Linked DNA regions of Macaca mulatta. The protein of the gene in region 2 purifies or fractionates together with the protein of the main gene of each other region. This does not show direct contact. Links are inferred from orthologs where the notes say so. Each region holds a gene or a part of one and is shown on either strand. Other genes may lie near its edges. The genes, in order: NAPA and STX10.

The links.
Region 1: the proteins of STX10 (region 2) and NAPA purify together in Homo sapiens (affinity purification with mass spectrometry; 3 studies listed by BioGRID and IntAct, with this or other methods). This does not show direct contact. The link is inferred for Macaca mulatta from reciprocal best matches to the Homo sapiens genes STX10 and NAPA.

The regions. Positions count from the first base shown.
Region 1 is NC_133424.1:59,984,646-59,988,970, forward strand, and holds the end of NAPA (alpha-soluble NSF attachment protein), read right to left. Parts: intron 3,511-4,325; coding exon 3,442-3,510; intron 2,575-3,441; coding exon 2,524-2,574; intron 1,532-2,523; coding exon 1,430-1,531; 3' UTR 779-1,429; downstream 1-778. UniProt on the Homo sapiens protein: Required for vesicular transport between the endoplasmic reticulum and the Golgi apparatus. Together with GNA12 promotes CDH5 localization to plasma membrane.
Region 2 is NC_133424.1:13,721,118-13,725,543, forward strand, and holds the start of STX10 (syntaxin-10), read right to left. Parts: upstream 2,944-4,426; 5' UTR 2,938-2,943; coding exon 2,903-2,937; intron 2,662-2,902; coding exon 2,492-2,661; coding exon of another isoform or gene 2,482-2,491; intron 2,340-2,481; coding exon 2,245-2,339; intron 1,847-2,244; coding exon 1,784-1,846; intron 1-1,783. UniProt on the Homo sapiens protein: SNARE involved in vesicular transport from the late endosomes to the trans-Golgi network.

The DNA.
Region 1 (4,325 bases), about 46 Mb from region 2:
TGGGCTGCAGCCTCTCTCCCAGGAGCATACCCTGGTTTCCTAGGCAGCCCCTCCTCTGTGCAGGTACTGCCCCTGCTCACTTCCTGACACTTTCCCATCCTGCCTGAGCACTGAGCCTCCTCCAGCCCGTCTCCTCCATAGTGAGGGGCCCTGCACAGGGCAGGGTAAAGCACATGCGTAACAGACAGGTCCCCCAACATGCACATTGTGGAGTGTGGTGGAGGCAGCTGGTTCCTGCCCACTTTTCCCGGGCAAAGGCTCCTGCTATCTCCTCCCCCACTCCCCAGACCCACTCGGGCCTCAGACTCTGCCCACCAAAGCCGCTTCCTCCCCCGTCCTGTGACAGATGGAACAACTGTCACCGGGGCGTTCAGCCTTCCTGCCAGGGAAATGTGGACATGGGAGATTCGGCGAGCTTCCACCCATTCTCATCCAAAGCAGTCATGAGGATTGTCATATTCGACCCTCCCACTGGCTCTGAGGGGTGGCATCATCACCATGCATCCCAGTTGAGGAAACCAAGGTCCCTGGACCCCAAGAACCCAGAGAAAGTTAGATCAAGATGGGCGCTCTGGGACTTCCAAGCCAGAGCTCCTCCCCAGGCCCACCATCCCTGGGTCTCCCCAACCTAGAAACTGACCCAGCCCACACGTGTTTCAAGGATGCATGCTCCCAACCTCCCAAGAGCTTGCCCAGAGTCTGGGGGACCAGGAGTGTGAGGAGAACAGGTGACCGGCCCAGGGGCAAAGTGGGTAGCAGAGACAAGGAGGAAGAGAGACTCATGCAAAAGTGTTGTTTTTTATTTTCTTTCTCGGGCCAGCTGCAGCTTCCAACCAAGAAAACCTCAAAGCATTAGGGAAGGAGCAGGTGTGGGGCTGGGGTCGGGGACAACCCCCTAAGCTCCAGGGCCCGGGGTCTAACCTGAGAGGTCGGGGCTGCAGGAGGCTGGGGGAAGCTCCCAGAGTTTGGGGGAAGAGGAGCTTCCCCCCGTAGAGACAGCAAGTCTCAGCGGCTACATGTGCTTTAGAGCTTGGCTGGGGGACAAAAGTGGGAGAGACAGAAACCGGCCTCATGAATCAGCTGGTCAGGAGATGGGGGGCCAGATGCTGACCCCAAACCCCCGGCAGCACCCCTAGCAAATAGGTCTGTATCAAAGATTCTGTACAGCTGGTTTTGGGGGTGAAGGGCACCTATGGGGGCTTAAATAAATGGGCAGGGAGCAAGGGATGTAGCGAGAGCAGAGGGTGACTGTCCAGCCAGCAGCCTGGGCCTCTGGTGCCCCCGCATGCTGACCCCCGCTGCCACCTGCCCACTGTGGCCTGCGGGACTCCCCAGGTGGGAAAGGAGGGAAGCTCTCCAGCAAGTCTCGGCCCCACCTCTCTCTAAGCAGATGGGACACGAAGACGGGCGCTGGGAGGCTGGGTGGGGCTTAGCGCAGGTCCTCCTCGTCGCCCTGGATGGTCTTCTTGATGCGCAGCAGCATGGTGGTGAGCCACTGGTCCAGCCGGGAGATGGAGTCATATTCCTTCACCTGAGGGCACACCAGGTGATGGGCTGGCCATGCTCCTCCCTGTTCCCAACCCTGCAGCCCAAGGGCACTTGTCTGAAGGTTTTCAAGATCTGTCCCTGTCACCCTGGTCTCTGAGAAGGAGCAGAGGGAGGGCTCGAGGCCCCGACTCAGCCAGGGGAGCTCCTTCTTGTCTGTCTTGACTATGCTAGGCACAACATTTCCCTTGGGGGAGAGGGATTGTAGCTTTAAAAAAAAAAAAGGTCCAGCATCCTCATTGAATGGGTGGGAAACTGAGGCCTGGAGATACGGAAAAGGCCACTCCTGAGTGCCATGGGGCATGGGAGAGAGAAGCCGCAGCCTGCTGGGCATCCCCTCCCTGAGCTCCTGGCTGAGTTGCCACCCACTGTCCGGGGCAAGAGGAACCGGATGGCATTTGCTCGCTGTCCTCAGCTAGGGGCTTCCATTCCCAAGGGGCACCTGGGGAGAAATGCTTGACATGTGCCATTAGAGGAGCGAATCAGGACCTATAAGCCGGACGCCACTGAGCCCAGGAACGCTGGGAACAGAGAAAGGGAAGGGAGAGAGAGCCACGTGGGCGGCTCCACCAGGCAGAGGGAAGCTGGCGCCTCTCCCGTGTCCTCAGCTCCACTCTCCTTCTCACCCTTTCCCTCCCAGTCTGTGCCTCCTGGGTGCCCAAGGCGGCCACTGTGAGTCTCACACACTCAACTGGGGGACTCAAGGAACCCTGGTCTTCAGGAGCAGACAGATGTGGCTCTGAACACCAGCTCTGCCCCTGAGGTGCCAAGGCCACCATCTGTAAAATGGGGAAAACACTCCCTGCATCTCTTGGGGCTACTTGTGAGGTTTCTGGGGTGAATGGAGAAAGAAATTCACAGTGGGCTGGGGGCCAGATAAAAATGGGTGAATGTCAGGGGAGAGCATGTCTGAGAAGGGCGGCTTTCCTAGGGGACCCATCCCTGTGAAGGGGCCTGACCCCCATGCGGGCCACTCACCGACTCGGTGTAGCTGTCCACATTCTGCTCCTCGTGGGCCTCTAGCAACTTCTGCAAGGAAATGGCAGAGAGGGGTCTGGGGCCCAGGCTGACCTGAGGTCGGCCTGGATTAGATGAAAGCACACACTATCTATATGCCAGGCCTGGGGCTGGGGTTTCCTGAGGACTCTCAGAGGGTCAGTCCATGTGGGTTAAACTGGGGACAGGTAGGGGCGTGTTGCAATCCTGCTGCCCTACTCATCAGAAACGGCTAGCTCTCAGGGCAACCTTACCAACATAGAACATCACACAGAATGTGTGTGTGTGTGGATATGTGGTGTGTCTGTGGTGTGTGTGTCTGTGGTGTTTGGTGTGTGTGTGGTGTGTTTGGTGTGTGTTATGTGTGTGAGGTATGTCGTGTGGTGTGTGTTATGTGTGTGAGGTATGTCGTGTGGGGTGTGTGTCGTGTGTGGTATGTGTGGTGTCGTGTGTGATGTGTGTGGTGTGTCGTGTAATGTGTCGTGTGTGTGTGTGTGGTGTGTGTAGTGATTGTGTGAGGTGTGTGTCGTGTGTGGTGTGTGTGTAGCATGTGGTGTGGTGTGTGTAGTGTTTGGTGTAGTGTATGTAGTGTTTGGTGTATGTGGTATGTGTAGTGTGTGGTGTACGTAGTGTGTGTGGTGTGGTGTGTGTGTGGGATGTGTGTCATGTGCATGTGGGGTGTGTGTGTGTGTGTTCACCCAGCCATCCCGAGCTCCAGCACTCCCCAAGTTGTACTTTCTTTATCTGAAAAATGGAGAGTCAAATGGCCAAAGAAAAGAAAACAAAATAAACATACCCTCTGAGAACCACTGGACAAGTCTTGATGATTGTCCCACCTGGAGCCCCGGCCACCCCCATCTGGGGTTCGGGAAGGGGGAGGCTGGAGCACCCAGCACTTACTTTCATCAACTTGCATTCCCGGGAATCAGAGAAAGCTGGGAACAGCTCCTCATACTTCTGGACAGCCAGCTGGGCAGCAGGGAAGGGGGAGGATGAGTTAGTAACAAGAGGGCCCTCAGAGCTGCTGGCCTAGCAGCCGAGGGGACTTGGGGATGTCTGGTGATACTGAGTCAGCTCTTTGCGCCCCTCCTCTAGCCTCAGGTGTCACCTGGCTCTGTTTGTCAGTACCTTCCCGCAGCTGAGCTCAGCACCAGCCTGGCTGGCAGAGACGGCTGCAGGGAGAGGTGGGTGGAGGGGGAAGGCTCCTCAGACAGGTACCCACTGCCTCCTCCCACCTGGCTCAGCTGGGGCAGGGGACAAATGAGCACATCCTCCATGGCAGGCCTGGGGCTGGTGCTTCTTGAGGACCCTGAGAGGGTCAAATAACGGTGAGCCCCTTTTTGAAAGTGAGGGAACAGATCCAGAGGGGGCAGTGACCTGCCCAGGGCACGGTGAGACATGGGGTGGGAATGTGAACCTGGTCTGACAAAGCCCAAGCTTTTGCCCACCACCGGTGCCCACAGCAGAGCAGGGCTCTATGGGGTGTGTGTGTGGGGGGTGTGTGGGGCCATCACCCCAGGCCGTGAGGCAGGGGTTTGGGCAGCCAGGGACACCAGGAAATCCTGGACTCCATGCTTCTGCCAGGCAATGGCAGGAAAACTCCAGCCAAGCAAAATCTAGCACCAACCCTCCAGCTCCTTCCCTCTGGCCACGTCCCCTCCCACTGCCCTCTCTGGCCCCTCTTTTGCCAAGCGCCCCGAAAATAGGTGGGCATGTGAGCTACAGCTAAAGTCGTGACAACGGGAGTCACAAAGATCTGGAACGCTGGGACTACAGGTCCCTAG
Region 2 (4,426 bases):
CTCAAAAAAAAAAAAAAAAAAAAAAAAAAAATTGGCCGGGCACGGTGGCTCACACCTAATCCCAGCACTTTGGGAGGCCGAGGTGGGTGGATCACGAGGTCAGGAGTTCAAGACCAGCCTGGCCAAGATGTTGAAACCCCATCTCTACTAGAAATACAAAATTTGGGCCGGGCGCGGTGGCTCAAGCCTGTAATCCCAGCACTTTGGGAGGCCGAGGCGGGTGGATCACGAGGTCAGGAGATCGAGACTATCCTGGCTAACATGGTGAAACCCCGTCTCTACTAAAAATACAAAAAACTAGCCGGGCGTGGTGGCGGGCGCCTGTAGTCTCAGCTACTTGGGAGGCTGAGGCGGGAGAATAGCGTGAACCCAGGAGGCAGAGCTTGCAGTGAGCCGAGATCACGCCACTGCACTCCAGCCTGGGAGACACAGCGAGACTCTGTCTCAAAAAAAAAAAAAAAAAAAAAAAAAAGAAATACAAAATTTGGCCGGGTGCAGTGGCTCAAGCCTGTAATCTCAGCACTTTGGGAGGCTGAGACAGGCAGATCACAAGGTCAGGAGATCAAGACCATCCTGGCTAACACGGTGAAACCCTGTCTCTACTAAAAAAATACAAAAAACTAGCCAGGTGTGGTGGCGGGCACCTGTAGTCCCAGCTACTCGGGAGGCTGAGGCAGGAGAATGGCATAAACCCAGGAGGCGAAGTTTGCAGTGAGCTGAGATCCGGCCACTGCACTCCAGCCTGGGCGACACAGCGAGACTCCATCTCAAAAAAAAAAAAAGAAAAAAGAAATACAAAATTTAGCCAGGCATTCTGGTGGAAGCCTATAATCCCAGCTACTCGGGAGGCTGAGACAGAGAATGGCTTGAACCCGGGAAGCGGAGGTTGCAGTGAGCCAAGATCACATCACAGCACTCCAGCCTGGGCAACAGAGCAAGACTCCGTCTCAAAAAAAAAAAAAAATTAGCCGGGCATGGTGGCATGTGCCTGTATTTCAGCTACTCAGGAAGCTGAGGCTGGAGAATCACTTGATCCCAGGAGGCGGAGGTTGCAGTGAGTCAAGATCGCGCCACTGCACTCCAGCCTGGCAACAGAGCGAGACTGCATCTCAGGAAAAAAAAAAAAAAAAAAAAAAAGGAAGCTATGCGCAATGGCTCATGTCTGTAATCCCAGCACTTTGGGAGGCTGAGGCGGGCAGATCACTTGATGTGAAATGTGAGGAGTTCGAGACCAGGCTGTCCAGGATGATGAAACCCTACTAAAAATATAAAAATTACCTGGGCATGGTGATGGGCACCTGTAATCCCAGCTACTAGGGAAGCTGAGGCAGGAGAATCGCTTGAACCCAGGAGGCGGAGCTTGCAGTGAGCTGAGATCGAGCCACTACACTCCAGCCTGGGCAACAGAGCAAGACTCCATCTCAAAAAAAAAAAGAGTAAAAGGCAGGCATGCGTCCTGGAAACAGCTACAAACAGGACAAATGGCATGGAAGCAGAAAGCAGATAGGTACACAGGCCCCCAGCCGTCCCCTGCAACAGGAAACCAGTATAGACCCAGAGGAGACAGTAGAGAGGAACCCATGGACATATACACACAGAGAAGTTCAGGTGCACACACCGAGAAAGTGCAGGCAGGTAGACAGCAAGAAGACAACTACACACAGAGAGGACGGGCACTGTCGCAAAAGGGACAGGCGAACACATGCAGAGGGATCTGGCTTGCACTCAAAGGCGTGGTCACCCCCAGGCGCTCAGGTGGACCGAGTGGGTTAGGAAGGCTTACCTCTCTGTTATTCCTCTCCAAAAATGCTACGGCTGTTGGGCTGACCATATGGTCCTTCATTTCCTGGAAGTGAGGACAGCATTAGGGAGGAAAGACACTCAGGCCCGGCGCGGTGGCTCACGCCTGTAATCCCAGCACTTTGAGAGGCCGAGTCGGGTGGATCACCTGAGGTCGGGAGTTCGAGACCAGCCTGCCCAACATGGTGAAACCTCGTCTCTACTAAAAACACAAAAATTAGCCGGGTATGGTGGCAGGCACCTGTGAAGTCCCAACTACTCAGGAGACTGAGACACGAGAATCGCTTGAGACCGGGAGGCGTATGTTGCAGTAAGCCAAGATGGCAACACTGTACTCCAGCCTGAGCGACAGAGACTCTGTTAAAAAAAAGAAAACAAAACAAAACAAAACAAAAAAGACACTCAAACCGTCCCCCACTCCCCGCCTGCAGGACCTTTCCTGACCTGGACTGCCTCTCGCATCCGCTCCACGAACACCTTTCTCTCCTGCAGGTCCCCGGCCGGGAGCTTGAACTTGCCTGGGTTGGCTTCCACTATACGTGGGCTGAGAGTCAAGGGTCAAGGCCAGAGCCAGATAGCATCATCATCCCCCTCCCTAGGGGTCTAGCCCTCCCCGAGGGCGGGCTCCCAGGCCCCCTGCTACCCCAGTGAGCTCTCCCATGCCACCCCCCGCCACAAAGCCCCAGGATATCGATGGTCTCTTCCAGGTCCTCGAGGTCCCACTCGATGCTGCGCAGGCCATTCCGTAGCTCATTGGTCGTCCAGTCCAGCTCCTCGCGTCCGACCGCCGCGCTTTCCTGCAGAAGCTCGCACCAGCGCTGGTATAGCCCGCGGGCCGTGTTCACCGCCTTCTGCACCTCGCTGCGGGCAGGGGCACGGCGGGCGCAGCTGGGGGCAGGCGGTCCTTCCGCCTGCCTCTGCCCCCGATTGCAAACCCAAACGCATGGGGGACTCCGGAGACCCCCACATACCCCTGCGTGCGCCTCCCACTTTGCACCCCGACGGCCTTGCCTAGCCCGCCGGGCACGCTGGAGCCGGCACCCGGGCACTAGCTGGATTGGGGACGGAGCACCCTCCGCCCTCCCCCGTCGTGGTCACTCACCCTCGGACTACAAAAAAGGGGTCTTCGAGAGACATGTCAATCCCCTTCCCCCCAGGCCGAAACCCCCTCCCGGCCTGGGTTCGCGGGCTGGTTCTCTCCCAACCCAGGAGAACGCGCCACCACCCCCGCCCCCCGTCACGCCACCATCGAGAGCGGGACCGCCAGGGCAGAAAGAGAGGCCTCGGAGGCCGGACGTGCGGACACTTCCGCCCTCTCTGCAGCCATCTTGGTTGTGGGCAGAGGCAGCTTCCGGTACGCATGCCCCGCCCCTTCGCCCTCTTGTGCCGCACCGTAGGGAGCGGTGTCGGAGTTCTGGCTGGGCCTGTTCGGGTCCGAGTTCGGAATCTCGGTTCAAGGCTCAGTTCCTCGGATTGTTCCTGCTCAACCTCAGTTTCCCTTCCAGGCACGGGCAATGTAAATAATGGTAGCCTCCCTTATCTCTGGCGGCTGGGGACTATGGCTGGGGAAGGGGCTCATTCGATTGGTTGAACGTTTTCATGGACTCCCTGAGCTGGCACCTGGGAGATCGTCCCAGTCCAGGGTCCCGAGTGTCAGGTTTGGGCAAGGTTTGGGGGAGAGGTGGTCCTTCCTTCTCCCTGCCGGGGCGGGGCGAGGAGCGGGCCTGCTCCTGCGGGGAGTTCTGCCGCATTCTCCAAATCTCTCTTTCCTGAGAAGTGGGCAAGCTGGGGGCACCTCGAGGTCGCCTTGGGGCGAGGTGGCCGTGAGTGGGGGTCCCAGATATTCCAGGGGCGGGGGGAGGTCACCTTCGAGAGCGTGCGTGGAGGTGGGTGTCTTCAGAAGCGCGGATTCTTTCTGGGTGAGAGCCTGGGGGTCGCGGGAGGTATGGTGGCTTTGAGGATGGTCTCCAGGGGGGCCCTCTGTGTGGGGTCTCCGTCTGGGTACGGGCCAGGAATATCAGCGAAGGGACTCAGGGTCGTCCCTATGTGTGACAGTGGCGCTCTGTGTGTTGAGGGGTGAGGGAAGCTTCGGGAAAGCACTTTTTTGAGTGGTAGGGGGCCTGGTCTCCCCTGGAGGGTGGGCGGGTTATCCGAGGGAGTCCTCAGAGGGTCGCCCCCTTGCGCGTCAGAGTTGCTGCGTGGGGTCTCAGAGATAGCGCCTGGGCCGGGTAAGTCATTGTGGGGTCTCCGTGGTAAGGTTAGTGGGGCGGGGACGGGGGCGTCTTCGGCAGGTCGTCGCAGTGTGGCACCATCGTTGAATGGGGACGAGTTTGGGAATGGTCTTTTAAGGGGGAATAATTTTTGAGTTCCCACCGTGCGGGGGGAGGGCGGGACGGGAGGGTGCCCCAAGGCCTGAGAAGATCAGTGTGGGGCAGGGGTCAGGGATAACCTGGGAGGGGGCCTTGTATGGGGGAAATAATTGGGAAGGGGAGAGATGGGATGAACGGGGTCTCAGCGGGTCGTCTCTTGTGTATGTAGGGTCGTTCTGTAGCGTCTCTGGGAGATGGCCTTCGTGGGAGCCCTCCGGTCGCCCCTACCCGCTGCGGGGTGCTTTCCTGGCGTCACG